Nothobranchius furzeri: one gene and its partners. Each later gene encodes a partner of the first gene's protein in a complex. Links are inferred from orthologs where the notes say so. Each region holds a gene or a part of one and is shown in the gene's direction. Other genes may lie near its edges. The genes, in order: sf3b3, sf3a3, smu1a, mfap1, ddx46, phf5a and ik.

What was found.
Region 2: sf3b3 (region 1) and sf3a3 share a complex: the UniProt entries of both Homo sapiens proteins name them as parts of the 17S U2 SnRNP complex. The link is inferred for Nothobranchius furzeri from reciprocal best matches to the Homo sapiens genes SF3B3 and SF3A3.
Region 3: sf3b3 (region 1) and smu1a share a complex: the UniProt entries of both Homo sapiens proteins name them as parts of the spliceosome B complex. The link is inferred for Nothobranchius furzeri from reciprocal best matches to the Homo sapiens genes SF3B3 and SMU1.
Region 4: sf3b3 (region 1) and mfap1 share a complex: the UniProt entries of both Homo sapiens proteins name them as parts of the spliceosome B complex. The link is inferred for Nothobranchius furzeri from reciprocal best matches to the Homo sapiens genes SF3B3 and MFAP1.
Region 5: sf3b3 (region 1) and ddx46 share a complex: the UniProt entries of both Homo sapiens proteins name them as parts of the 17S U2 SnRNP complex. The link is inferred for Nothobranchius furzeri from reciprocal best matches to the Homo sapiens genes SF3B3 and DDX46.
Region 6: the proteins of sf3b3 (region 1) and phf5a are in contact, whole or in part, in a crystal structure (PDB 7B91), measured with the Homo sapiens proteins. The link is inferred for Nothobranchius furzeri from reciprocal best matches to the Homo sapiens genes SF3B3 and PHF5A. Residues at the interface, in NP_036558.3 of Homo sapiens: Gly85, Arg86, Gln104, Glu105, Thr106, Phe107, Gly108, Lys109, Ser110, Leu140, Ile154, Ser155, Ser156, Pro157, Glu159, Ser1162; in NP_116147.1 of Homo sapiens: Gln14, Ala15, Gly16, Val17, Arg44, Asp47, Glu79, Asp81, Arg82, Asp83.
Region 7: sf3b3 (region 1) and ik share a complex: the UniProt entries of both Homo sapiens proteins name them as parts of the spliceosome B complex. The link is inferred for Nothobranchius furzeri from reciprocal best matches to the Homo sapiens genes SF3B3 and IK.

What each region holds. Positions count from the first base shown.
Region 1 is NC_091744.1:81,791,440-81,795,585, reverse strand, and holds the start of sf3b3 (splicing factor 3B subunit 3), read left to right. Parts: upstream 1-1,346; 5' UTR 1,347-1,460; intron 1,461-2,225; 5' UTR 2,226-2,271; coding exon 2,272-2,341; intron 2,342-2,548; coding exon 2,549-2,704; intron 2,705-4,146. UniProt on the Homo sapiens protein: Component of the 17S U2 SnRNP complex of the spliceosome, a large ribonucleoprotein complex that removes introns from transcribed pre-mRNAs.
Region 2 is NC_091751.1:25,497,109-25,501,063, forward strand, and holds the start of sf3a3 (splicing factor 3A subunit 3), read left to right. Parts: upstream 1-1,155; 5' UTR 1,156-1,281; coding exon 1,282-1,377; intron 1,378-1,458; coding exon 1,459-1,506; intron 1,507-3,487; coding exon 3,488-3,540; intron 3,541-3,955. UniProt on the Homo sapiens protein: Component of the 17S U2 SnRNP complex of the spliceosome, a large ribonucleoprotein complex that removes introns from transcribed pre-mRNAs.
Region 3 is NC_091741.1:70,830,058-70,834,211, reverse strand, and holds the start of smu1a (WD40 repeat-containing protein SMU1), read left to right. Parts: upstream 1-1,354; 5' UTR 1,355-1,442; coding exon 1,443-1,468; intron 1,469-2,181; coding exon 2,182-2,392; intron 2,393-2,769; coding exon 2,770-2,922; intron 2,923-4,047; coding exon 4,048-4,154. UniProt on the Homo sapiens protein: Involved in pre-mRNA splicing as a component of the spliceosome. Regulates alternative splicing of the HSPG2 pre-mRNA. Required for normal accumulation of IK.
Region 4 is NC_091749.1:30,004,243-30,008,276, forward strand, and holds the start of mfap1 (microfibrillar-associated protein 1), read left to right. Parts: upstream 1-1,234; 5' UTR 1,235-1,349; coding exon 1,350-1,431; intron 1,432-2,052; coding exon 2,053-2,269; intron 2,270-2,348; coding exon 2,349-2,499; intron 2,500-2,591; coding exon 2,592-2,779; intron 2,780-2,859; coding exon 2,860-3,129; intron 3,130-3,218; coding exon 3,219-3,378; intron 3,379-3,675; coding exon 3,676-3,765; intron 3,766-4,034. Other genes in the region: hddc3 (guanosine-3',5'-bis(diphosphate) 3'-pyrophosphohydrolase MESH1), read left to right, coding at 341-495. UniProt on the Homo sapiens protein: Involved in pre-mRNA splicing as a component of the spliceosome.
Region 5 is NC_091750.1:60,380,814-60,384,313, forward strand, and holds part of ddx46 (probable ATP-dependent RNA helicase DDX46), read left to right. Parts: intron 1-824; coding exon 825-962; intron 963-1,124; coding exon 1,125-1,274; intron 1,275-1,345; coding exon 1,346-1,573; intron 1,574-3,500. UniProt on the Homo sapiens protein: Component of the 17S U2 SnRNP complex of the spliceosome, a large ribonucleoprotein complex that removes introns from transcribed pre-mRNAs.
Region 6 is NC_091756.1:28,019,799-28,023,872, forward strand, and holds phf5a (PHD finger-like domain-containing protein 5A), read left to right. Parts: upstream 1-1,274; 5' UTR 1,275-1,376; coding exon 1,377-1,428; intron 1,429-1,717; coding exon 1,718-1,741; intron 1,742-3,387; coding exon 3,388-3,554; intron 3,555-3,624; coding exon 3,625-3,714; 3' UTR 3,715-3,789; downstream 3,790-4,074. Other genes in the region: l3mbtl2 (lethal(3)malignant brain tumor-like protein 2), read left to right, coding at 1-27, 104-336.
Region 7 is NC_091750.1:27,147,303-27,151,452, reverse strand, and holds the start of ik (protein Red), read left to right. Parts: upstream 1-1,350; 5' UTR 1,351-1,474; coding exon 1,475-1,484; intron 1,485-4,150. UniProt on the Homo sapiens protein: Involved in pre-mRNA splicing as a component of the spliceosome. Auxiliary spliceosomal protein that regulates selection of alternative splice sites in a small set of target pre-mRNA species. Required for normal mitotic cell cycle progression.

The sequences.
Region 1 (4,146 bases):
GCGCAGCCACGCTGTCTGAATTTCAATGTGAGCGCGTGATTCGCACGCGCACACGCGCTCTGGGTGCACAAAGGCTGAGATCACAGAGGAGGAGGAGGAGAGGCTGCAGAAAAATGCGCTTAGAGTCGAGCAGCTGCAGGAGGCTGCTGCCTCCCAACGGAACCAGGCACGAGACGTCCAACTCGGGAGGAGGACCACTGAAGTGCTGCTCAGAACCAGCAGGCAGGAGGAGAAGGAGGAGGTATCTTCCCCCCACCCCTGAAGGAATAGTTTCTGCAACTTCCGGTTTTTCCTTTTCACAATTAAACAATCCCACGTCTTTCACAATACATACATCTATGACAACCCCCCCCCCCCCCCAAAAAAAAATGCAGTAATATTCTAAAATGTCAGGGTGCTTGAATTCCCCTGTCAAAATATATTGAAAAAGATCAGACTAATTATTCTACAAATAATAATGAACTATATACAAAACAAACAGGCCTCCCAGCTAACAGAGCAGTGGTTTCCAGATGTGTCGGTGTGATTCATTGAACAACCAAACCAAACCAAAGTTTTTACCCTCACCAAAACAAAAATAGGTCTACCAGTATGGTTATTCTATTTTGGGTTGACATAGTCAAATACTTTATTAATAATTATTCTTTATTTTTATCTGACTTTTGTAGATTATCTCAAGTCCCTAACTGAGGAGTTTTGTGACCCCCAGTGGGGTCACAACCCCAACTTGTTTTCTAACACAAATAAGTTGCCTCTACGTTTGAACATCTTTTCTCTGGTGACAAATGCATCTTCCCACTGATGGGATGAGAAAATGTTCGCCTGACCTCCATCTTTCCTAATCTGCTATTTAGCAGCATGCAGCTTCTCATAATCCATGTCATGTTTTTAAATGAGAAGTGGTTCTCAGCAGTTCACCTGGATAAATAAATGTAAATAAATAAATACCGGTACATAAAATAATTACTAACGACATGAAATGTGTTTTCTTCATGTTATCTAAATATGATATTATTACTGTAATAACTTGAAGATTAATCAAATGTAGAATTGTGATAAGTATTTATTCATGTGAAAAGAATGACAAAAATATATTGTATTTTTAGATATAAAAATCACGTTATAACTTAAACAGATATTGTTTGAGCCTTTTCCTTCACGGCGTTATGCTATATTTTATTATCGCTTGAGTGTGTAGCAAAACAGTTGATTTATTTTATTGTCTAAACTTATAAAGCGATATCAAGTGTTTTGTTGACATCTGCTGGACAGCATGCGCTACTACACTTTATTTCTATCAGGCATTGCTAAGGTCACCTATGAAACCCGCTTCACGGTTAAAGAAGGACCCACACAAACGGAAGCCCTACGTAGGCTTGCTGTCCTGAAGCAACAGAGAAATATTCGAGCCGATGAGTTTCAATCCACCAGAAATCACAATCATCTAATTAAATAACCCGGTAAATTTTTTATTTTTCAAAATTTAAACAAGTATTAGTCTGAATAGGAACGATATGTTTGTGAACTATGAAAGGCTTTTTAGTAGGATAGCAGGAAAACAAAAGCGGATGCTGCTGGCAAGAAGTGGCGCTTCGTATGAAAACCTTGTGGATTTACCGTGAGCAGGCCGAGTTTATCCGAAAATAACCTATATACAGCTACGGAAACCGTTTATGGGGATAAGTTACATCCTGAGAGGTTTCGGTGAGCCCGGAGGAGTTGCAAACTGGTAAACATTCACGTCGTGCAGTAAATTGCTAAAGTCTGCTCATTCAGCGGCTGGGAGGAAAAGCTAAAGAGCGTCTTGGATGGATTGGGGTCCACAGAAGTCCGGGTACCAGCTCCAGCTGTAATCAGTTTAACTCGTACGGGTCTGATCTGGACTAAAACGCACGTTGGATTGTGAAAATAATTATTGAAATGTCTTCTGTCTGAATAGAAAAGGTCAAACTACATCTGGTAAAGGTGGTGCCAACAGTTATCTGGCCCTTTTATGCGTTCCCTTTAGGAAGGTTTTATAAATAGTTGAAAGAACTAGTTTAAGTTGGTTTGATATACTACATGAGTGGAAATCACTTCAGCTTCTGCATTTAACTAAATTCCCATAGGCAGTTCATTATTTAGAGTGTATTTGTTGAAAAAGAAGCTGTTGGCCTGAGTCATCTAGTATGTGAATCAGTTGACTGTAGAAGTTTGAGCTTTCGCATTTAACCACCTGTTTGCAGTTGTGAGCCGGGCTGAGCTGCTCCGGAACAACCCTGAAAGGGAACCATGTTTCTCTACAACATCACCCTGCAGCGTGCCACTGGCATCACTCACGCCATCCATGGAAACTTCTCAGGTGAGCTTCCTCCGGATTTTTTTTTAACTTTGTATCTTTTGTTTGATTATCCAAGTGCGGGCTTCAATAAAACAGTTATGTTTTATTTCAGTGTAGGACCAACGCTGTGTGACACAGCCTGTGCAGACCAAACGTTTTACTTTTCTATATTCAAACAATTTTAACCCTATAAAGCTCGAATCATGTTAATTAAATGTTTGCGTGTAGGAACCAAGCTGCAGGAGATTGCTGTTTCCAGAGGAAAGATCCTGGAGTTATTGCGGCCGGATGCTAACACGGGAAAGGTGCACACACTCCTCACAATGGAGGTGTTCGGCATCATCAGATCCTTGATGGCGTTCCGACTCACCGGAGGAACTAAAGGTACACATCAGACTGGAAACAATAAAAATGTGTGTCATGTATTTATAAATATTTTACAAACATCAAGACATTATGACTGTATATCATATTTATAACATGAAGTACAGTTTAAAATAACAGTAACTAAAATAATATTACAATTAGGGCTGCAGCTATTGAATATTTTTGTAATCGAGTACTCTATCAAATCTTTTATCGATTAATCGAGTACTCTAATAAATGGCCCTTTTGTGTTTGTAAACCATTATATCAAATAGCATGTTATAAAATATGAAAGACCTCTTAAAATAAGCAAGCAATTGCCAGTTATTCCTCAAGTTTTATTCAAAATTAGTTTTCAAAACTTCATCACTTCAGCTTTACTTCACAGTAAACAAATGCCTGTGCAAAAAATAAGTATGCACAGTGTTTCCCCTAGGAATTTTTCCAGGGGGGGGGGGGGCTTGGCGAGAAATTATGACACGTCTCTAAATAAAGTGAAATTTTCTAGTGCAGAGTGGAGACAACCCATAGAAGCACTAATTTGATCTCATTTCAGAGAAATATAGAACAGGTCAGATGCACCTAATAAATAAAATTACTAACAAACTCAGGAATCTGTTTCTTTGCTTCACTGTTCTGCTGCTGAGAATATCACTAATGCGGATCAAAGGAGATACACAGATGAATGCACCTCTTGTTTATTATTTGGAGACTACATTTACTGCAGCTGGCAGAGGCAGAGATTTTTTCTATTGATACACGGAATTTACAGAATCATTTTAAATGTTAATAGGGGAAGACTGCAGGAGGGAGCGGTAAAATACAGGGGGTCCCCAGCAAAAACAAGAAACTTTACGAGTCTGATGAAACCCGCTGGTTTTCCATCAGGCAGTCACGGGGCAGCTCCAACGACCCAGTGGCTGTGCTGGGTCAATGTTATCGAGCTCAGTCCGGCTCGGTCGTGAACGAGCCGAGGCGACGTCGTGCTCTGCTTAAGAAGAGGTGTTATTTTCCCGCTTCAGAAGAAGCGTCCAACGTGTTTTTACGCTTTCTCCGAGACATGTCACGTCGCTAAGTTGTTAGCGCCGCACGCTAACACGTCAATAGTGCAGCGTAGCCTGCTGGAGGTTTTAAGGGTTCAGATGAAAACACCCGACCTCTCAGGCTGCTCACACATCGATCTTAAGTTGTCGCTGTTGCGCTCACACCGTAATATTAGATGCGGTTAAAGTCAGACATGAAAAAATACATGAATAAGTGATGCTTAGCCTGGTGGGGGGAGGAAAATCTGGCCTAGTAAGCACTGGAGGAAACCCTGTCAAGATCGTCAACACTCATTTATCTTAATGCTGTTGAAACATGTAAACCAAAAAGCATTACATCCACTGCTACCTTTCTAATTTTAAACTCAGTAACTTATGCTGTAACTTCACCTTGTCCTGCCTGCTCCTCCTTGCTGC
Region 2 (3,955 bases), on another chromosome or scaffold:
CCCACGGGCTCGTTCCGACCCGGTCCGCTCCGCCTGTTTTGTTGGATAAATGAAGAGTTAGCATCAAGCATGTAGATGTCGGAAGATGCTGCAGCTAACCAGGAGCAGCCCTCTGGTAGCGGGTCTGCCACTGACCTCTGCCAGGTCTGCCCCAGTAGCACAAAGACAGAATGGATACCCCCCACCCCCCCACACCTCGTCTCCACAACGACAACGACCGCCCCCCCCCTTCCGCAGATAACGCCTCAGCGCCTCAAATCCATTACAGCAAGCGAGTGTTGTCACCGTGGAAAACTGGCTGCTCACCTTCCTGAACAGGCTGGACGCACCGCGGCGGAGAAAACGGTTCCCAAAGTCCCTGTAGTCCACAAAACCCAAACACTGGCTGCCCGGTGCTTTGACTTGCTGCTGCTGGAGAACGTACCGAAGCCAGAACGCCACTGTCAAGGCAGCGACTGTTACTGTGGAGTTTCCGGTGTTGACTGCCAAAATAAAAGCTCTGGCGGTAATTATAAAGATAAAAAGGAATATATATATATATATATATATATATATATATATATATATATATATATATATATATATATATATATATATATATATATATATATGACATGGGATCAGACCTCTGAGAATCATAAAAATGTTGGATATCATTTCTACTTTAGTTTTATCACATCCTGTCACATTACTATACACAGCTCTGACAGTGGAATGCATCGTAAATTGTTGTATTACATTTGAGAATGATTTATCATTTGCACCTAAGAAACAAGTTATAAGCGCCAACACTTCCGGTCTGTGGTAAGTGCGCTCCACCGCGTGTGCGCTGGGATAGTGTGTGTGTCCTGATTTTGCAGGCTTTGATGAGATGTGATTAGAAATAGCTCACAATAAAATAACCTCAAACAGCTCACGTGAACGAAAATTTCTATTTTGATCCATAAAACCGTCCGCAGTCGAATTATTCACAAACTCTCACGTCTGGATCGGTCTGGATGGACAGCAAATAATAATTTTAAAACTTTCATAAAATTCTAATAATATAAAAATAAAATATATGCTAATTTGTCCACTTGTAGGAATCCCGTACTGTCACCGTTATGGACGTTTGTGTGACCACAGCGGAACTAATAATTGGGAAATGTTTTCCTAGCCGTACTGAAGCGGACAGTAACTCCTGAACAGACGCCTTTGGTCAACGTACCATACTGCGCTGTGCTAACGCTTCAGCAGCAACCCTGAACAGTCTTCATTAAACTCTTGAGCATTTTGTAAACGATGGAGTCGATTTTGGAACAACAGCGTCGCTACCACGAAGAGAAAGAGAGGCTGATGGACGCAAAAACTAAAGAAATGTTGCACAAAAAGACCACGGTAAGCAGCGCAGCTTTTAGCATTAGCATGTTGCTAACACCAACGCAATGTTCACGTATTTGTTTTCGACTCTTGTTTCAGCTGCGGGATCAAATTAATTGTGATCATCGAATAAGAGCCATGTTGGATGTAAGTATGAAATGCTGCTCTTCCACCAGTGAGCTAAATGTTGTTTGGTGGTGTAGTTTTTTCCGTCGTGTTAAGTAATAGAGTCAATAACAATCATTGTGCTTAAGATCTGAATTTTATGAATCATTGCAATCGATGTTGTTCTGATTTGTTAAATGTAATATAGAAGTTATATCAGAAAATAAAGCTTATTTGTTGTTGGGTAAAGTTGCTTTTATTTTTATTGAGTTACCTGTAATGCTTGGTTCCTGCCTTGGTCGTCATTCACTTTTAGTGTAACTTTGGTGAATTTTCACCATCCATCCATCCATCGTCTGAACCCGCTTGGCCACGTAGGGTCGCGGGGGGGGGGGGACTGGTGCCCATCTCCAGCGGTCAATGGGCAATCAGGCGGGGTACACCCTGGACAGAGTGCCAGCCCATCGCAGGGGACTTTCACTGAATTTTCACTAATAGTATCCAAACGTTTAGAGAAGTAAATCAAAACCTCAGGTTGATCACTGCTGCTCTTTTAATCTGAAGTTCTCCTCATTAAAATGCAGTGAAACCAGAGGGCTTTACTGACACATCCAGACTTCATACACAAAACCCAACAGGTGGTACAGAGGGAGGATTGATCCTGCCAACGCTTACATTAAATTAAGAAAGGGCAAAAAAAAAAAGTAATTCAATAAATGAGGAAATACAATTGAAGATAACACACTTGGAGTTAAATGAATACAATTATTAATTTCCACATCTATTTTTTTAATACATTTCTTCATTTATATTCCTCACACTTCCTGTGGTATATGGTGATGAGGTGAATTAAAGTTAAAGTCCCACTAGTTGTCACACTGATGTGTGACATTGTTCTCTGCATTTGACCCACCCCCGGCAGTCCTCCAAAGGTTGTTGGAGACACGGCAGCACTCGGGAGCTATTTGGTGGTTTAACCCCCGATCCAACCCTTTAAAGCTTAGTGCCAAGCAAGGAGGCATTGGTTCCTGTTTTTCGAATCTTAGGTGTGACTCGACCGTGGATTTGAATCCCGATATCCCAGTCCCAGGGCAGACACTCATACTAATAGCCCACCTAATAATTGCATCATGTATTTCTATATGTACTTTCAATTTTATAACCAGTTATTGTCAATTTTGGTGGGATCAGACCTCCATAGGTTGATTTTTAAAATGTTTTAAATAATTTTAAGAATCACATTTAAACATGATCCTGAATGAAAGCGTATGTCGTGGTTGAATAAAATACTTGATCAGCTCAGTGCAGTGTGCTGGTTGCTTCTAAAGGTAATGTGCTTTATTTAACAATCTGATGTTTATTTAGATCTTCTCAGATCTAACAGAACTATGATGACATCTGAATCAGTCTGATATTTCTACCTGGAGATTCTAAGAAGCAGAATTTGTCAACTGATCTCACACACAGCTTAACCCAAAGTCTTAGATCCGGAGGGCATTATGCACATAGGGGTTGGGGTGCTCGGAGCGCCCCAACCCCTATGTGCGTAATGCCCTCCTCCCCTTTTCATCTAATGATCGTGGTTAAAAGGAAATCCTCCAGAATGCTGCAGAATCTGTGTCTGCTTTTTTTTTCCTGAGCGGTAAGTCTTGTGTGAGTGCATGCTTGCATGCACGCGCGAGTGTGCCTGCGCTAGTTAACAACTCGTTTTTAGATTGAGAAACTCCGACAGCACACGCGGAGGGGTTGAGGGGGGTGCGGTCTACCACTGCCTCAGTGCCGCTCTCCCGGTTCGCCAGGTGACGCCTCTTTCAGAAGCGTTTTTCTAACAGGAAATGTGGATGAAATGCGTCTCCAACCAGGCATTGACCCTCACTTTAAATAGTATTCTAGAGCTAGGTGTTGTCAAGCTATGTGTTACCATGGTAATTTAGAGCCAAGTCTATTACCATGATGATCTAACAGTGAGTCAGTGTTGGCTAGTTTAATGTCATCTGTTGTCATGTTCTGTGTCTCCTCACAGAGGTATATGGAAGTGAGTGCAAATCTCAGGGACTCTTATGAAGACAAAGATGGGTACGTTTTAATTTTTTTAAATATATTCAATGTACTTTTTTTTTTTGCTTGTTAGAGTTAAGCTGTTGTCTCTTTCTGTTACCCATTGTTTACTCAGGTTTGTTTTCCTGACAGTAAAAAAAATCTAAATATATAATTACATTTTTATTCTGGCCTATCAGAAGCGTTGGTATCCCATTCCACGGCTTTTGTTGCTACTTCTTTTATTAAATATATTAAATATTAAAGTCCAATGGCTCTATTTATAAAACTTTGTTTGGATCCTTTACTAAAAAAATTTACTTGCAGAAATAAAAAATTGGACCCATAAAACACTGCGTACATATAGCTGTACACAATTCCTGCTTTATCTAACTCTACCTAGAAATGTGTTCAGGTGATTTTGGATCACATCCCGCCTCCCGCACACCCACTG
Region 3 (4,154 bases), on another chromosome or scaffold:
TTATTATTAATAAGTAATTAACCTATACAAATAATTGGTTTCTGATTGAAATTAAGTCTTCTTTTGCTTTTTTTTTTATTTAGGACAAAATTATCAAATTTCAGCCTTTTGAATTTAGACGTCTTTTTTTTGGTGGCATCTCCCTCACTGAAAAAAATCTGCTGTTTTTTTTTCACGTCAGAATACTGAAAAAAATCTCTGCTTTTATGCTAATATATTCGGAGGGATTGTGGTGTTATGGGATTCTAAAAAACGTTGCTCCGCCTCTCTCTGCGCTCTCTGGTACTCATCTCATCCAAATATAGTTCTCCATCTGCAAAGGCAAACAAAACCAAGTAGGATCTGCTCGTTTTCTTGCAGCCAAATTAATTTCCAATTTGGCTGGTTCTCACAGTTGGATTATGTCATGATTGCCCATAACAATCAATGCCTGCAGAATGAAGTGGTGCATCATCATAACCTTGAAAGACCTTCACTGGCAGCGTAAAAAGAGTCAAGGGGCCTCTGTGTCATAACTGTGCAGAGAGCAGCCCCTGTTGACCACATTGAGAGAAGGATTTTTATGTATGTGCACATGCTTTAAAGTAGTGGAAGATATTTTATTCCTGATGCATCTTCATTGATTTAATTTTGCACACAAATAAAGTAATTTGGGCTTCCCCAAAGATTCTAGAGATGGTAATTCCAACATCTACTATCTACATTATCTACAACATGAAGGGCTTTATGCTCTAAAATAAATAAATGGAGAAAACCCCAGTGAAAATAATATGTCCAAACAAAATCTCTGAATGTGTACAAGTGAAAAAAAAATTATAGAATGAAAAAAAGATACACTGAATGTTTGACTTTATCAGTGGGCTATAATCAAACTGCAGATTACAGTCCTCATTTATATTTGAAATCCCAAAGTTAATGTTTTGTAAAGATATAAACAAAAGTACTGATCTTCAGAAGGAGTTTGTATTTTATTTTTCAGATTTACACAATTTTATTTTAGAAAAAAAATGGCAAAAATATCACATTTTCTAAATCTGAAATATTACTTTGGTACAGCTAATTTCTGTCCACTAATATAATCAATTTATTTACAATATTAGCTAAATATTATTAATATAAAATGGAATGAAGTACAAAATCCCCATCATTTTATAATTTCAAACAACTGATCTAAATGCATATTCTCTCTATTGCCAAAAGAAATAGTCAGAGAATTGGAAAAAACAACGAATTGTCTAAAATAAATTAATTTAATTTCATTAGCAGATTTCTTTGTATTTTTGTTAAATAGTTTCGTTGTATATCAATAAAGTTGGCAATGAACGGTTGAAATAATTTTATTTTGAAATCTGTCGTTTTACACGCAACTTCCGTTTTCCTTCTGCGTGTTTCTCGCTTGTGCTCCAGGACTGTGTTGTTGCTGCTGTCCAACGTAAATAATCATGTCTATAGAAGTGGAATCTGCGGAGTAAGTACTTCTTTACGTGTCCTGTTAATCTTATTTGTTTTTTTTTTAAATAAAAATCTAGCTAATACCACCACACTAGATGACGGTATTTGCGTTAAGGCCTTTCGTTCTGAGCTGCAGCAAACTAACGTTAGCACCTTAAGCTAGCATGCTAACGTAAGTCTTCTAAAGGTGCATTTTGTGTTCTAGAATGGCCAAGTTGGATAGTTTTCTAGTAAAAATTGTTCAGTGTAATTTTTATAATTAAAATAGTTTGTTCTGTCTGTGGTCATGTTTCTACTGACCTGAGTAAGTTCGTTTGGAAGACGAATTAGCTTCAGCTAACGTTCCACAGTCATTCTGCTGTGTAAACTTGGGCTGCACAAGTGTAATTTAGGGTCGAAAATACAAATGCTGCTTCTTGCTGTAACACGTACTCTTAGTTTGTAGAAGTTGTTGAAAGAAGACGTGTAACGATCTAAATGTCTTTAATAAACAGCTGAGTTTATAGTTTGGTCAAAACTGCTAGAGGCCTGTCCATATTTCGTATAAATCCCATTTCTTTAAGTTGATTTTATCCATAGATCACTTATTTCTAAGTTATGTTTTTTGGTCCATCACACTTTTTAACTGAATTGTTGCCCCGTCTGTCGGGGATACTTGTGTCACACTGTTTGCTCATTGAATTCTGTATCATCAGCATGGTTTCTGTGTGATGTTTTGTTTTATTCCAGCGTGGTGCGTCTTATTATGCAGTACTTAAAGGAAAACAACCTGCACAGAACTCTGGCCACACTGCAAGAGGAGACCACAGTATCTCTGAACACTGTGGACAGTATAGAGAGCTTTGTGGCAGACATCAACAGTGGCCACTGGGACACTGTTCTACAAGCCATCCAGTCCCTCAAGCTGCCAGATAAAACCTTGGTAGATCTTTATGAACAGGTGAGGTTTGGATGTATTGTTCAGCATATTGCTTAGTGCTATTCCCTCGGCACTCATAAAGTTAAAAACCTATAATAATTTTTTTGTTTTATGAAGAAATCAAAGTAAACAGGTTTGTGAAAAGCTGGCTGACAGAAAGGACGTTGTTCTTTTTGCTCATGTTCACTGTAATCTTAATAAAGGTTAGAAAAACATACAGTGCAGATTTTAAAATAATGCTAGGGAGACTTAATCTGGACAGTCACCGCATGATTAAATTATTTTAATTTTAATTAATAATTTTACCTCAGTAGTTTTTTCTTCTGCTGTCCATTCTTATTACACAGTATTTTATCATGTAGCTGTTTATTAAAATGTCTTTGTTGTGCCCTGACCAGGTTGTCTTAGAGCTTATTGAGCTGAGAGAGCTTGGTGCAGCCCGTTCTCTCCTAAGACAGACGGACCCCATGATTATGCTGAAACAGACTCAGCCAGAGAGATACATCCACCTGGAGAACCTGCTGGCTCGCTCTTACTTTGATCCTAGAGAGGTGAGTTCAGAGCCTGATGTATTCTTGGTTTATTTCCATGATGTCACATTGGCATCAGTGGGTCTTGGGAGTCACTTTAGTTTTTCTTGGAACTCACTGAGAACCTCACTCACTCTGGTTCCAACAGATTCTCATAGCACAATTATTTTCTTTTGAAATTTTTTTAAAGGGATCATTTTAATAGTTAGATTGCTCTTTAACAATAGGAAACCAGAGCTTGGAGGTGTGAAACCACTCAAAAATATCTAACTTTGAATTTTTATTCATGCTCATGCATTAAAGTGCATTAAAGCTGGGGTGCATAGTTTAGATGTATTACAGTAATTTAAAATGCTTAAATTTGACTATCCAACACTGTTCTATGAAATAAAGTAGGTACCGGTAATCTTTCATAATTTAGATTTCTTCTGGGTCCCTCTCCTGGCCTCTACAGCTCAGCGAATCATTTATGCGAGCCTAGAGGGTTGACCATCGACATAGATGGTGTTGACCATTAGAGCTGCATATCCACGAGAGGGAGCTGTCAATCAACGCGAGTGAACCCCAGGTCTGAGCATGCACTACGGGGTCACTCACTCAGCTCACCGGCCTGCATTTAATTTATGTTAGTCTGTAAACTTCAAGCTAACGGTGGAAGAGTAAGGATGGGGAAGGAAAAGGAATTTAGCTTTTGTGTTTTAGAGCTGAGTGATCAGCATAGCATTCAACCTTGCACTAATTTAGACTGTTGATTTAGCCTGCTGTATCATTAGCACAGGTGTGCTACCATCACCAGATTCCCGTTGGTTTTAAATGTTTCCCTGCTTAAATGATACATGTTTGATGCAGAACTCTAATTAGACCATTCAACAGGTGTTAGAATCAGGTGTGTTTGAGCAGGGAAATTAAAAAAGTTACTTGTCTGTTAGCACTAAACGTGCCATTTGGGTTAGCAGTGTGAGGCGGGGCTTTCAGCTCTTTCCAGAAGGAGAGGGGGAGAAGGGATGGGAGCTATAGCGGCGCAGATTTCAAAATCTCTTCTTCCTCTCTTTGATGTCACGATACAGACCACAGCTTTAAATTAATGTATAACAATTTTATAATTAAATATATATGGTTTAATTATGCTGGTGAAACTCTTTCCAGGCATACCCAGATGGCAGCAGTAAGGAGAAGCGTCGTGCAGCCATCGCTCATGCGCTGGCAGGAGAGGTCAGCGTGGTCCCCCCCTCCCGTCTCATGGCTCTGCTGGG
Region 4 (4,034 bases), on another chromosome or scaffold:
AAACAACCTACGCTACCCGGCCCAGGCTGACCCGATACAGATGGGAATGGCCCATTATACTCGCTCCCACCTAGCAGGAGGCTCTGATCCATTCAGACCAGAATCGCTAGCCACAAGAACAGTTTCTTCCCCTCCACGGTCAGACTCATGAATGCCAATCGTAGACCTGCCCACTGCAGTTGCTTTGTTTCAGTCACCTGACCCTGTGTTGTGTTATCACGTAAACTGATCTGCTCTGATCACTACCTACACTGACTTGTTTATTGTAGCTGCTTCTCTAATTATTGCCTCCCTAAATAATGGTGTTTATCATGTTGTCTACCTTTTGTTTGCCTGGCAGGCTGGAACACTGAGCGGGTCCAGGAGTACTTTGTTTGGGCCTCTGAGGTGGTGAAAGGCCTGAAAGGAACTAACTCTGCCCTGGAGGGGAAGCTGGAGGACTTGTTCAGAGAGGCATTCAACTCTGATGGCAAAGCCACACGTCTATACTGTTAAAATGACAACTCAAATGCACCTTTATGAGTGAGCTTCAGAAAAAAAAGAAAGAAGTGTGAATGTACTGTCTGCTGCACTGTCATTTGTATTATTGTCAAATTTTTAAAGTCATGCAAACCAGAACAGAAAATTAAAAGAATAAAAACATATGACATTTCTTTTATAAGTCTGGTTCATTGTCATCAAACCTTTCAAATAATTTTCACACAGACACAAAGTTTTTTTTTTAGATAAGTGAAGAGTTGCTTATTAGAAAGTCAGTCAGATTAGCCTTTTGTTTTTAAATAAACCATGATGCCAAAGTTACAAGCCAACCTCAGTCCATCCTATTACTCTGTTAAGGGTCAGGGCGTGCACTTATTTATTGTGCTAGTAAATTGAACTTGCCTGGAGCAGAAGAAATGTAGTTTGTTAAGCTGCCTGTCATTTTTGTAAAAAAAAAACGGAATGTTTGATGTTGGTTATATTTGTTAGGGTGAAATCGGGTTTCTGATCATAATGAAAAAAAGCTTGACTTGAAGGCCTATCATGCATGAAACATAAAAACCACCAAGGGGCGGTGATTTACAATTTACAATTTAATCGATTTTAATTAGCTTGATGGTCATTTAGAAAACACGTTTATAAAAATGCATAAATGTCAGTTTTGTAAAAACAATTTAATGTGAGACGCTTTCCTGTTCATTTGATTCTTGAGTTTTTGGTTTTTCTCTTCGGAACAAATGCACTTCCTGTCCGTTCGCGGAAGTTGTTCAACTTCCGGTTTTGAAACGAAGCAGCCAAGAGATTGTTGAGACTAAGCGCAACATCCTTTTATTTCACGTCCATAGTTTTGTGTTGTTGACCGGGCAGTCATGTCTAGTCACGAAAGCGTCAACATGAAGCTCCCACCGATCCAGTCCACGGCAGGAGCCGTGCCCATCCGGAATGAGAAAGGTGAATCGTGTTAGGGTTAGCTTCCATGCTAATGTAGCATCTGTTATGTAGCGTCAAAAAACGCGAGTTAAGTTTCTAAATAACTAATTCATTACTCAGCAAAACAAGCTGAAAAGCAATTTTGTGATGTTGGTTTTTTAAGAGAGTAAAATGTGTGTGTGTGGTGGGAGTAACAGTTTAAAATCTAGAAATGGAGGAACAACTGACAGTTTACATTTTTTTAAACAAGATTCAAGATCTTTGATGATCCAACACAAATGTTTATAAACAACTGGAAAAAATATATTTTAAATAGCTTTTCAACTTTTTTACGTGTTAGATAAGTCATCTGTTAAGTCCCTTAAAAGTATTCATGGGCTTTTGTAACGTCATTTATCTGTCTACCTAATAAGAGCTTGTCTGAGACATTAACTCGTTGTTTTAAGCTTACGTCTGAGTTTTGGGGTCATTTTATTACTCCCAAGGGCGAGGGGTATGCTGTATCTGTCTGATTTAATTTAAATAAATCTGCAACATATTGTTTTACGTTTTTTATGGTTGAGTGTTTTTTCCTGTTTAAATACTCTTGTACTAAGCTTGAGGAAGTGTATATAATCATGCCCTTTTCTGTACACAATGTAGGTGAGATCTCCATGGAGAAGGTGAAGGTGAAGAGGTATGTGTCAGGTAAACGTCCAGACTATGCCCCCATGGAGTCGTCAGATGAAGAGGAGGAGGAATTCAAGTTTGCTAAAAAGGGAGTGGAAATGGAGCTGGAGGTAGAGCAGCAGGAAGAAGATGTGAATGACCCACGTCTCAAACGTTTGCTCAATCGAACTTCTGAGGACGTGGAGGAGAGGTATCACTCAGTTTTTCTGATTAAACTCAAATTCTGTCAACATTTTGAGTCAAAATGTTTCCCGTTTGTTTGTGCTCAGGCTCGCAAGACACAGACAGATCGTAGAGCCTGAAGTTGTTGCTGAGAGCAGTGAGGACTCTGATGAAGGCACATGGCACCCTGAGCATCAGGAGAGCAGCGACGATGAAGAGGAGGAGGAGGAGGAAGAGGAGGAAGAAGTGGATGATGAGGTAGCAATTGTGCACCAAAAAAATAAAATCCTTTTAACTTTTTTGTTGCATTTTGAACAAATTATTAATTTGCTCATCGTGCTTGTGACCAGGAAATTGAGAGGAGGCGAGCAATGATGCGCCAGCGTGCAATGGAGAGGAAAAATGAAGAGATGGAAGTGATGGAGGTGGAGGAGGAGGGGAAGTCAGGAGAGGAGTCTGAGTCGGAGTCAGAATATGAGGAGTACACAGACAGTGAGGATGAAGCAGAGCCGAGACTTAAGCCTGTTTTTATTCGCAAGTGAGAACTAAACTAAAAATGTTTCAATAAAAATTCCAGATTCAGAACACTAGCTCAAATGTTTTTTTTTTGCACTGCAGAAAGGACAGAGTCACTGTGGCAGAGCGCGAAGCCGAGGAGCTGAAGCAGCGAGAGCTGGAGGCCGAGGCCAAGAGGCAGGCAGAGGATCGGCGGCGCTACACCCTCAAGATTGTTGAGGAGGAGGCTAAGAAGGAGTTTGAAGAGAACCGGCGCTCGCTGGCTGCACTGGAAGCTCTGGACACTGACGGGGAGAATGAAGAGGAGGAATATGAAGCCTGGAAGGTCCGAGAGCTGAAACGCATCAAGAGAGACCGAGAGGCCCGGGAAGCGTAAGTAAACTGCAGGATTCCAAAGGATTTATGGTGAAAGAGTGATGCAGTTCTCTTCAGGACGGTCATTTGTGGTGTTTTGTTGTCAGAATGGAGAGAGAGAAGGGTGAAATTGACAGATTCCACAATATGACGGAAGAGGAACGCAGGGCGGAGCTACGCAACAGCGGCAAAGTCGTCACCAACAAAGCCTCCAAAGGCAAATACAAGTTCTTGCAGAAATACTACCACAGAGGAGCCTTCTTCATGGTGAGTCCCAGCAGACACAAGAGTCCTTTTCACGGGATTGTCACCAGGATTCATAAAAAAGCAAATTTTTAAGACAACCAAGAGATTTTCCTAAAATCTTCATTTACAGCTGCAGTGTCTTTTCTTTGACAATTATTGTGTGATAAAAACGGCGTACCCTTTCTTATAACACCTTTATTATTTAGATGTCTGTAAATGACAGGAAATCCCACCAGATTCTGAAGGAGGTGATCGTTTGTGATGGGTCACCAACAGGTTATACGTGTAGGGATTTATTGTGTGGTTTTTGTGTGTTAGGATGAGGAGGAGGATGTTTACAAGAGAGACTTCAGCGCTCCTACACTGGAGGATCACTTCAACAAAACCATCCTACCCAAAGTCATGCAGGTGAGACCCTTTCGTCTTGGGGTGCAACGAAATGAAACTTTGGGCTGATGTCGATATTGTTATGGCTGATAATCGATATTTGTCGATGCGACATATACAGGCTGACATTTATGCTTCTGAAGTCAGCAGATTTTATGGAGACTTAAAGTTATGTAAGCAGAAATTTTGGACGTCTTTCTTTTTATATATATTCAGTTAATATCGGTCCAGTTGTCCTTATCAGACCGATACCGATATGTAAAACATAGATATTGATGCCGATATGTCAT
Region 5 (3,500 bases), on another chromosome or scaffold:
ATTTAGGTTTGACACCCTGGTTATTGTGTGAGTTGGACTCTGCCGAGGCTGCCACCAAGATTTCTAGGCGCAGCCAAGGTGTTGAGGGAATCCGTTTTGGTGTTCTATGGATCGAGTCTCTGCATTTTGCAGATGATGTGGTCCTGTTGGCTTCATCAGAATATGATCTCCAGCCTTCACTAGAGCGGTTCACAGCCGAGTGTGAAGCAGCTGGGATGAGAATCGGCTCCTCTAAATCCAAGACCGTGGTCTTGAGTCGGAAAAGGGTAGAATGCCTTCTCCGGGTCAGGGACGAGGTCCTGCCCCAGGTGGAGGAGTTTAAGTATCTCTGGGTCTTGCTCATGAGCAAGGGAAAGATGGAGCATGAGATCGAAAGGCGAACTGGTGCTGCGTCTGCAGTGGTGCAGGCATTGTACAGTTCTGTCATGGTGAAGAGAGAGCTGGGACAGAAGGTGAAGCTCTCAATTTACCGGTCACTCTATGTTCTAACCCTCACCTATGGTCATGAGCTTTGGCTAGTGACCAAAAGAATGCTCCTCCACATCAAGATGAGCCAGTTGATGGTGTCCTGGACACCTCCCTGTGAGGTTTTCTGGGCACCTCCAACGGTGAGGAGACCCAAAGGAAGACCCAGAACATGCTGGAGGAACTGTGTCTCTCAGCTAGCCTGGGAACACCTTGGGACTCCCCCTGGAGGAGCTGGTCCAGGGGGCTTGGGAGAGAGAAGTCTGGGCTGCTGCTCTGTGACACGACCACGGATGAGAGGAGGAGGGTGGATGCATGGACACCTGGTTATTCTGTATTATTTATTCCTCTTTTTTTAGGGCTATGCTTACACCTTCATCACGGAGGATCAGGCTCGCTACGCTGGTGACATTATCAAGGCCCTGGAGCTGTCCAGCTCTCCTGTCCCGCCTGAATTGGAACAGCTTTGGGCGTCCTTCAAAGATCGGCAGAAAGCCGTAAGATAGAACAGCTAAACCAAACTTTGCCTGTTAACAGCATTTCTGAAATTTGAAATCAAAAGTGTCTATCACTTAATGTTACCTTAATGTTTTGAAAAGGGTAAGCATAAAATGTTATGTCATGTCTTCCTGTTTTTCTCTGCCCCTCTACCCAAACAGGAGGGTAAGGCCATTAAGAGCAGCAGTGGCTTCTCGGGAAAAGGCTTCAAGTTCGATGAGACGGAGCACGCTTTGGCTAACGAGAGGAAGAAGCTGCAGAAAGCTGCTCTCGGGCTGCAGGACTCCGATGACGAGGATGGAGCCTTGGATGTGAGTAGCTCCTCTTATTAGAGGATCTAGATCTCTGACTCAGTCTTCAAACATCTGTTTTCTTTCCTCAGATCGAGGAGCAGATTGAAAGCATGTTTAATTCCAAGAAGAGAGTGAAGGATCTTTCTGCTCCAGGAGCGGCTGCTGGAGCAGCCGGAGCTGTTGCTGCCACAGCAGCCGCTTCTGGGGGGCTTCCTGGAGTCGCCCTGGCTTCTGCTGGAAACATCCAGAAACTGGAGATGGCTAAAAGGCTTGCCCTCAGGATCAACGCTCAGAAGAACCTGGGAGCTGAGGCTCAGGTGTGTCAAAGCTCCGTGATAATTACAATTTGTATTTAGTTAAATGTGTTTCTGTTGATCAAGAGCTTTCTGCGTTGGCATTTGGCTTTTTTTATCGTCTTCTTTCGGCTCTTGGAGAGTACAGACGCCTTTTTCTCCTCTCCCTCCTCCCTGCTCTTCCCAAGGCTTTTTTCCCTGTCTGCCTGTGCACTGCACGTCTCTGCATTTTTCTGGAAATTATCAAACATGGATCTGGTTAGTTGTTCTCTCAACGCGATTGACAACATTTTTTCAATGATGAGAACGGGAGAAGGGGCTCCCGGATGTCCCTCTGGGACGGAGCCAGCTGGATATATCATGGACTCCTGGAAACTGTGGAACTTGGTCCGCCTGTCTCAACTGTCCGTAGAGGATTCTGAAGATGTCTGGATATTCGTCGTCTTGGTGTTGGGATTTCTGCTGTTTGGCCTGAGCGGTTACCTGGCATACCGGAAAATTAACGAGCTTTCGAGGAATATTGGCTCAATCCCGGAGCTCAGGGATGGAATGCATCGTGCTGTAAACTCACAGACTCGGATAATTGTCGAGATGAGTCGGAAGCTTGGAACTCTGGCTGAGATTCAGGCTCTGGCACAGAAGGTTGATTCGATCAAGGGGAGAGTTGACAGATCAGCACGGATTGGAATATTTTGATAACGCCATTACTGGATCTAGAGGGGTTGAAGAACAATAGAACACTAAGGCAGAGAGGAAATTATCTCGGTCTGTCCCCAAAACAATTCTTATCTGGATCTGGTGCTCTTGGAGCCTGTGAGGCTGAAGTGAAAACTCCCCTCAGAAGAAATGTGGAATGCTGCTGTTGCTATGGAAATGCTTTCTCCCTATCCCAGCCTGGGCGGGGCTGTGACCGGTGAAGGCCGTGGAACCGTATCTAGAGCCCCCTTCAGACAGGCCATGAAAAACGGAAATGTTCGGCACTCTGTCCGTAAGACCTTTGTGTCTGAATACAAACATCCGGATAACGTGTTCCGTAATTAAACCGGACGAAGCCCCTAGTAACAGGACCGGACTTGTCATGAACAGGGTGGCTGCTTCAGACTGGTGAGGTCGAGTTCCGGACAGGGAGGAGGGGACCGGGGGAAGCTGTGTGCACCTAGATAGCTCGCTCCTGTAGCATGCGGCGACAAAGGCAGCTCGCCTCCTACGGTACCGTCTCCTAGACGCGCGACTGAGCGCTTCACACCGCTTCCGTGATTCATTTATTAACCATTGAGCTTCATCAGCCAGGTCTCTTATTCTTGTGTGCAGAATTATGCTTAACATAAGTCCGATCAGTGAGAGGAACTATATCTCTTCGTCCGCCATGTTTGACCGAATGGCTTTGTTTGGGTAAATGGCGCATGTACGCCCGCCGCGCCATGTTTACGCAATATCTGGGTACAGCTTTCCCACCCCCTCCCCCTCAGACATCTGGAACTTTTCCCTGCTGTGTGAAAGCAGCCGGAAGGACAAGTTCAGGTACAAAAGTGGTGTGTTTGAAAACACAGTTCTGGTTAAAAACCGGACTGAGTTGTCCACACATATTTTCAGAATGTCAATCTGAAAAGGGCTTAGGAGTCGATGAGCTCTCTAACCCAGTATCTCCCTCCCCTGTCCAAACGGAGGTGATGAGCGCTGCTCTTGCGGCTGCACTCTCTGAAGTGAGGACGGTCCAACCCCACCTCCCCTCCTAGTGGGCACTTAATGGTGTGTATCATCTGAAGTCTGTGTGCATATCTGTCTGAGGTGTTGTTTTTTGCACAGCAAAGCTATCCTCTCTGTCGGGGGTAACTCTGAACTGCCCTTTTTTCCCCTCCCCCAACTCTATCCTCATATAAACCCTCTTGATCTATTACGGTAGCACGACTCATGTTGCGAAGGACCACAGTCACCAATTTTTGTCATGTGT
Region 6 (4,074 bases), on another chromosome or scaffold:
TGAAGGCTGAACCAGAGGAGAGAGAGAGTAAGTGAAGGCTCTTCAAATTTGGTTTAAAGGTCATTTTTGATCATTGTTGTGTGACTGGGTTGTGTCTCTGTAGTCGTTAGAGTGCAGGTGAAGGTGGAGGAGATGGAGACCCTTATCAACCCCCCAGACCAGCCTCAAAAAGTCTCGCAGTGTGAAGTGAAACAAGAGAAGGCCGAGCAGATGATCCAGTCGGGACATCAGGTGCCAGAGCAGAGCCCACTGGCAGACATGATCCATCAGACCGCAGAGAAAAGAGAAACAGCAGAAAATGGAGGCGAGCATAAAGGACAAGCTGAGCGGAGTTAAAAAAAGACAAACCCCAGAAAAAAGGAGGCCAGAAAATGGGAGGAGCATGGAAGAGATGTGGGAAAACAACACAACAAGACACTGCAGGAGGAGCTGAACCGATGGAGATATAAGCGGCTGCTGTAGATGACGTTCTGAGATGGTAACAGATGTGAATCAAAAGACGGCTGGAGCTATGTCTCATGAATCTCTGCTGTTTATAAACTCTCAGACCCTCCGACCCAAAAAGAGAGTTCAGAACTGTCTCGCCTCCCCCAAGGTCACCCTAGCTACACCCAGTTCCTCAAAAGCTTTTGTTAGTGATCAAGTCATTGTTTTTGTTTCGTTATCAGATTTGTTTTTGTGAGCAAATATCCAGTCGGGAGTAAGAGTCAGACCAGTAGGTGAACAGATGAAAACCGGCTGATCCTGGCTGCATAGACCAGGAGCCGGTATGGCAATGTGGACCTGTTTCACTAGTTAGACTAATTCACTGGCTGGTCATATTAGCCAAGTTAACTGTTTTAATGTTTGTTGGTATAATTCTGTTAAAGAAGAACTCACAGTGGTCATTGTAATGATTTGAAACTGACAAAAGTAATAAATATATACTGAAAATCCATCTTGGCTTTTGATTAGTGGTTAAACAACAACTGAAAAGAAAATAATAAAATGGACCTGGATAAAAATGTTCCCTATTCTTCATTATTTGTTGTTGAACCTTTTGAGACAGTGTCAGCAACCCAGGGATTTTTGTAATTTTATTAACTTTGCTGCTGTTCTATGGTAACTCAGAGACATTGCAGCTCGTATCAGGATGAGGCATCACCTCTGGAGCAGAGGGATAAAGAATTTTAGTGAACATAAAACTTGGAAATTTGTTTAAATTCTGGGCTAATGACAGCATTTTCACCCAATGTCCTTGTTTATTTGAAACCCGTTTTTTAAGAGTGTAGTTACAAGGTGAAGGCACTAGGTGGTGGTAGCGACTCAACTCGACACTTGCACGCCGGTCAAAGGTTAAAACTGAATTACGTTCGGCCGTCGTTGGTTAGCTGAAAATGGCTAAACATCACCCAGATTTGATCTTCTGTCGAAAACAAGCGGGTGTCGGTATGTTTCTTTACTTTATGTCGTTCGGTACCTTTGAAACTACACAGATATATCAGAAACACGTTTGATTTGCGCCATGTGTTAGCTGCTAAGCTAACTGTTAGCATAAATACTGAAATGAGTAGCGGAGCTGGACGTGTCTTTACGGTTTTCATCTCTGTTGACACTAACAATTTTATGGTTTTTAAACCCGTTTAACTGAGTATTGAACATAGAGAAGTACAAATTTATCGTTTATCCTGAAAATTGAAACGTTTAATTGAACGACTGTTCTGTTTTCCTCCCGCAGCTATCGGGAGACTTTGCGAGAAGTGTAAGTGTCTCCACTTTTAACACGTTTACTGTAAAGTCTATTTCTGTTATAGGTTTTCCTCTAGAACGTTGTGCTTTTGGCTAATTCTAACCCAAAGATCTAGCTGATTTCCTTGGAGTAAAGGCGGCTAAAAAGAACCAACCATCATAAACGCTGTTAAACCTCTAGATTTTATTTATAGGCACTTTAAAAACACCCACCTTATAAAAAACCATGCCAATGTAAAATCCGTAATGAATTTTAAAGTCAATGCAATGTAAATTTAAGCAGCATTTTTAAAATAATCAAACATAAATTTAGATAAGAGAATTTGAAAATGATCTGAGGTGTCAACAAGGAAAAGGAAGACGAGGCCTTAGGGTGGAGGTGGAGATATGCAGGTCATCGTTAGGATTTTGGATATCGAGGACAAAGACTGGGATTGGTCTTGAAAGTGAGGCAGAATCCTGTGATGATGCAAAATTGGGATGGCAGCATATATCATATGCTACACGTGGCAGAGCTTTTGACTGACTGATGTCTTTAAAGATGAGGAGCCAGCTGAGGTGGGTTGGGAATTTGGTATGGATGTCCCCTGGACTCCACCTAGGGGAAGCGTTTCAGGCATGTCCTGCCAGCAGGAGGCTCCAGGTCGACCTGCGACACATTGGAGGTACCTCCACTTTGGGCAAGGCACACCTGGGGATCCTGCTGGAGGAGGTCTTCAGAAAGAGGCAAGGTTGGGTATCTCTGCTGGGGCTGCAACCCCCGTGACCCAGACTCATATGCAGGTAAAATCTGGTGGTCATTTACAGTAATCAGGGTCCAGATGTATGGCTGTAAGTGAAGAAAACATATTTTCTACACAGACCGTGCAAACATGAATCACCTTTAGACAGTACATGCTGGACATGAGGAATAATAACGAGGTCACAACCCAAACCAAGATGTTCACCAGACTGAAACTAGTCTGAGAGAAGTTAAACTCTCAACACTGAACTTCACTAAAACTAGTTTCTCCATCCACTGAGTTCAGCGTGTCCCAGCTGGGACAAAAGAGACAACAGAAGAATGTGTTAACAGAAATTTTCAAACCTGTGGACATCCTGTCTGGACACTTGCCAACTTAACCAGAAAATCTGGAAAAGCACCCGACAGGAAAATTTTAAAGTTATTGCAAATGTTGCAGGATTATCAAAGAAACTCCAAACGTGGCATTCTGGTGCATTGGAGTCCAGATGGGACCCTGAGACAGAAGTTGGTTTAGGTGAAGGACACGAGCTGAGCAGAGTCTGCACCTGTACACACAGATCAAGGCTCAGATTTAAATCTGAGAAAGATGTCACTTCCACATTTTGCTTTGAGAAAAGTCAATGAAGCCATTAGGTCGAATAGGAAAAGTCGCAGTTAAACAGATCTCCGGTTTCACTTATCCAACACCTCCAGTGCAGCTTTGGCTCCTCTCCCACTTCGTTTCACAACCACTCACACTTAAAAACACGTGACTGAAACTCTTCCTAACGTTCCAAACACTCACAGAAGAGACGGCGGGTCAGTCTTGTGATTGTTACAGTTACCTAATAAGATCAGAAGCACTTTCACTTTATTAGTAAATGTAGAAATAATTATTGTTCCCATCACCAGCTTAGTTTCTCTTCCTCTTCCAGGTGATGGGAAGTGTGTGATCTGCGACTCTTACGTGCGACCGTGCACGCTGGTGCGTATTTGTGATGAGTGTAACTACGGCTCCTATCAGGGGCGCTGTGTGATCTGCGGAGGTCCCGGCGTGTCTGACGCTTACTACTGCAAAGAGTGCACCATCCAGGAGAAAGATGTGAGTCCTCCTCTCGTACGCCCAGCTGTGTCTGCAGGAACGTCTCTAAATATTTTGTTCCTCTCTGCAGCGAGATGGCTGTCCCAAGATCGTAAACCTGGGCAGCTCCAAGACAGATCTGTTCTATGAAAGGAAGAAGTACGGCTTCAAGAAGAGGTGAAGACAGGAGAAACACCGAGTTCATAGTCGTTTTTTTTTTTTCCAAAAACTTTTTCTTAATAAAATGTTTTTTCTATTTCTGTCTTCATGTTTTGTGACTGGAAAAGATAATTGGTGAACATGAATCAGATGGAATACTCAAATCTTTTCATTAAACATTTTCAAATTAGCCTAAGCCTGTTAGTTTTATTAAACCTTATTAGATCATGTAAACGTTTAGCAGCAAGCTGTAGAACTGAGTGAACCCAGTCTACTAGTCCCACTTCTCTCTTACCATTTCTATTTATTATAACGTGTCAAAGGACACGCCCTTTTTCAGGAATATGGCTAGGAAATTTTCACTTCAATTAAAGTTTATATA
Region 7 (4,150 bases), on another chromosome or scaffold:
CCACCTCGTGTGGACTGACCAATGAGGAGAGGGTCTTAACTTGAGGTCCTCTCTTCATTGGTCAGTCTGCATGAGACTGACTCTCAACTGACGTTCAGAGTCATAGGCAGCGAAGCGTCTCAGCGTAAAAGCCCGGGTGGACAGTTTGTTTAATATAGGGTGACCATATTTCCATTTCCAAACAAGAGGACAGGGGATCTGTGCCTATGACGTCACACTATGGCAACGCCACAAATATTACGTTGGGACCCATTTTTTTGTAAGAACTAAATTAATATCAGATTCTGCCAATAAAAGGGCTCTAAAACAATTCATATGTAAATATTTTGCATATTTATTGCAAAATCTAATTTTTCTGCTTTAGTGCTGCAACAATGTTTTATTAATAATAAATTACTATACATTTTGTTTTACTACACCATCGGTAAGCTTCCTGTGCACAGATTATTAAGGGTGCTCATTTCAGCTGTGAGATTAGACGATAGGATCAATGAAAAAATAAGTTGTCACACACTCCATGGAAACTTTCAGAGAATCCACAAATAGTGGCTTTCAAATAGTTGTGTTACTTTTAGCAAGTTTATAAAAGAAGCAGATGAGACAGCATGTCTGATAATTTAGTTTTTCATCTGATAATATTAGAACATGTCAGTAATGTCTGAGGAGCTTTTATAAACACTGTATAACTAACACTACTGGAGAGGGTATGAATTACACAGAGGCTTCTGGGGAGCCCAGTTATGGGGGGGGCATTTTGCCTTGGCCCCCAAAATGTCTTGAAACGGCCCTGGGTGTGTGACTGAGTCTTGAAGGTGATCTGAGCTGTATCAGATGCATAATTATTACATGTGTATAACTTATTGTTTTTTACTGGTAAAAACGTGTAGTGGAGATAAATCTGCCTACATTTTACTTTTCAACACTTTGTTTTGTTTTCTTGTTTTTATTTAACTATTTTCCTGTCCTGTCTGTCTCTCATCTTCCTGCATCTCCTCTAAACTCTCCAGAAAATCTGCTGCCTGGATTCTTACCTTTTCACCTCATCAGTTACTTCTGAGCAGATCAAAGGCAGCGTATCACGTAGACTACACCACTGTGTGGCATCACTAAAGAAAACCCTGTTTTGCTTCCTTCCATCGTCTGTGTGAATCAGCAGAAATGTGCGCTGTTTTTAGTCATTCTGGCGCAGTTTCCTACCTCTTGCTGCTTTGCAGCGTTATGAATACTACGGAATACTGTGGTCGATTTGCACCGGCGGGAAAAATCAGAAGAGTTTATATAAAAACGTTTAAACAGCGCTAGTGTTTATGTACGTATCTATGGTCTGACGTGAATACAGGAAGTGACGTCAGCGCTCAGAAACTCCTCAGAAAAAAAGAGCCAGCGCCATAGATATAAGCGTCGTACTCAGCAGAGAGGTAGACCAACAAAGGCTGTAGCTTCTTGATCTCCGCACCGACTGCTGTCCGCCAAGATGCCCGAACGTGAGTCTTACAACCATTATTAAGAAAACACATAGACGTAGTAGATTAATACAAAAGCATAGCTTATAGCGAATTATATTAATGCAACGTGTAATGTTTTATTTAGGCGATACGAGGCTCTGTTGGCTTATATTAGCGATCCAGCTTCCGGTCTACCGAGGGGCACTTTGGTTTAATCAGCACCGGAGCTCAGCGTGGCTACGAGATATGGCGCGGGGACAGTGCCACGGCTAAAGGCTAGTTTATCCACCCTTAAGGAGAAACGGTGATGTAAGCAACATCCGGTGAGATACCGGAAGTAGCGCATTTGTTTGCATGGTGAGGTTTTGTTGCTAGTAGTGGTTAGTAGTGAACATTTGAAAACGATTAAAAAAAATTAGGGATGCACCGATCAGGTTTTTTGCTGCCGATCACCGATACCGATCACGTGGATTGGCCAGAAATTTTCTACAACATTATAATGAGTGCTACAAACTATATAATCTGGGAATAAAGGAAATGTAACCTAATCTAAAATGGTCTGTATTAGGGTTGTCACGGTGTAAAAATTTAACCTCACGGTTATTGTGACCAAAATTACCACGGTTTTCGGTATTATCGCAGTAATTTTTTTAAACGTGCTACATTTTCACACAATTAAATAAACCCTGTATGTCAGGAAATATTGTCCTCAATTTGTGTCTAAATTTAGCCTAAAATGTGTTATTTTGTAATTATGTTGTTTATTTGTTTACATTTTTTCCCTTTAGTCTTTAAAATACCAATATTTGCCCATAACTTCTTATTTTATGTCTGTTTGATGTCATCATTTTAAAAATATTAGATCAGATGATACTCCATACTCAAGTAGCCTTCTAATCAGATACTTTTTTACCCTTACTTGAGTAATAAACCCTATATCAGGAAAGTATTGTCCTCGGTTTGTGTCCTTCCAGTGAGCTTTGCAGATGTGGGAAAATGTCATCAGGCAGTAATCGTTGTTAAATTCATAATTATTCTCAGAGAGAGACCAACTCTTATCTGCCCCTGGGAGCCCCGTAATGCATAGCGTCATTTCAACATGGGGGTGTCCGCGACACGGTTTATATGCAGGTAGCGGCGCTGCGGCTGCTTTATATAGCGACTCGTTGCATTCTCCCTCAACCCAAATCCTCGGATCACGCATTTTAGCTAAAACGCTAACGTTAGCTTGCCTTGCGTTGACTGTAGAGTTGTGGGTGATGGTCACGCAGATGTGTCATGAGATTTGAAGTGTAGCTGCCTTTCACAGACACTTTTTCTGCACGTGCTGCAAACAGGATAGCCGTCTTCTATCAGCTGTCCCTCGGCATTCTTCAAATATCCCAAAAAATGCCCGTACTTCCCACTTTGTCTTCTTTGAGGGATAATAAATGTCCTGAGCGCTGCCGTCTCCTCCTTTGGTCATTATTTCAGCTTTAGCTTCAAGAAAGTTTTAGTTATAAACAACAAAGTGCGCATGTGCCGCCGGCAACTTCAGCAGATGATACGGTGGCTGGTAAGGGTCACCGCGCCTACACCGCAGCCACGGTAATCCACCGAGATAATATAGTTTTTTAAAAAACAAGACGGTTATTATTGTCAACTTTTTTTTTTTTTTACCGGGGTTTACCGCTACACTGGTTACCGTGACAACCCTACCTGATCGGTCTGCTTTGATCTATTTTGAAAACTCCGATCAAATCCGATAGGGGCGCTATCGGCCGATTACGATCAAATGCCGATCCATCGGTGCATCCCTAAAAAAAATGTTTTACCCCCAAAAATGTACTTGCATGGCTTGGAAGATGTTCACGACTACAAGCAACCAGAGAAAATAAAACTGAGTTTATACCACGCACCTTGGAGTAAGCCCGTGTGACTGGGAGCGTTGGTGCAGCTTTCACCGCCTCCCGGAGATGAGGAGCCCAGGCTGAAAAATCTTAACTTGAAAACCACCACGAACTATCTGTGCGTTACCTTCCTTTTGCTGTGAAAACCAAGAGGGGGACACACGCTTCCTACTTTGTCGTTGCATATGGTAGGGCTGCAACAACGAATCGATAAATTCGATGAAAATCGATTACTAAAAGCGTTGGCAACGAATTGCGTCATCGATTCGTTGTGTCGCACAACTCTTCCAAAAGCGCCCCCCCCCCTTCCTGCCCGCCGTTGCGCGCAGACCAGAGCAAGTCAGATCAGCGCGAGGGAGAGCCGGCAGATCAGCGCGAGGGAGAGCCGCAGATCAGCGTGAGGGAGAGCCGGTACCGGCAGATCAGCGCGAGGGAGAGCCGCAGATCAGCGCGATGGAGAGCCGGCAGACTTGCGCTGCTGCGAACCGGTTCCGCATTGTCGCGCAGCGCTCCAGGCTGCTGCTTCCAGCGCACGGTCCATTCTCAACGTGGCGCAACCAAAAAACTATAATTAGCACACGATCGTTCATGTCCGCACATATTCTCTATTTTCTGTCTTATTTGTGCCTGAAGCGCGCTACTGCGGAGCTCATCACCTGTGCTGTGGTGATGTCACCTCACGCAGCATCGAAAACGCGCTCTGCGCTTTTCAGTCAGGAGATCCCTTTGATCTGCTCAAAAGTAACTGATGAGGTGAAAAGGTAAGAATCCAGGCAACAGATTTTCTGGAGAGTTTAGAGGAGATGCAGGAAGATG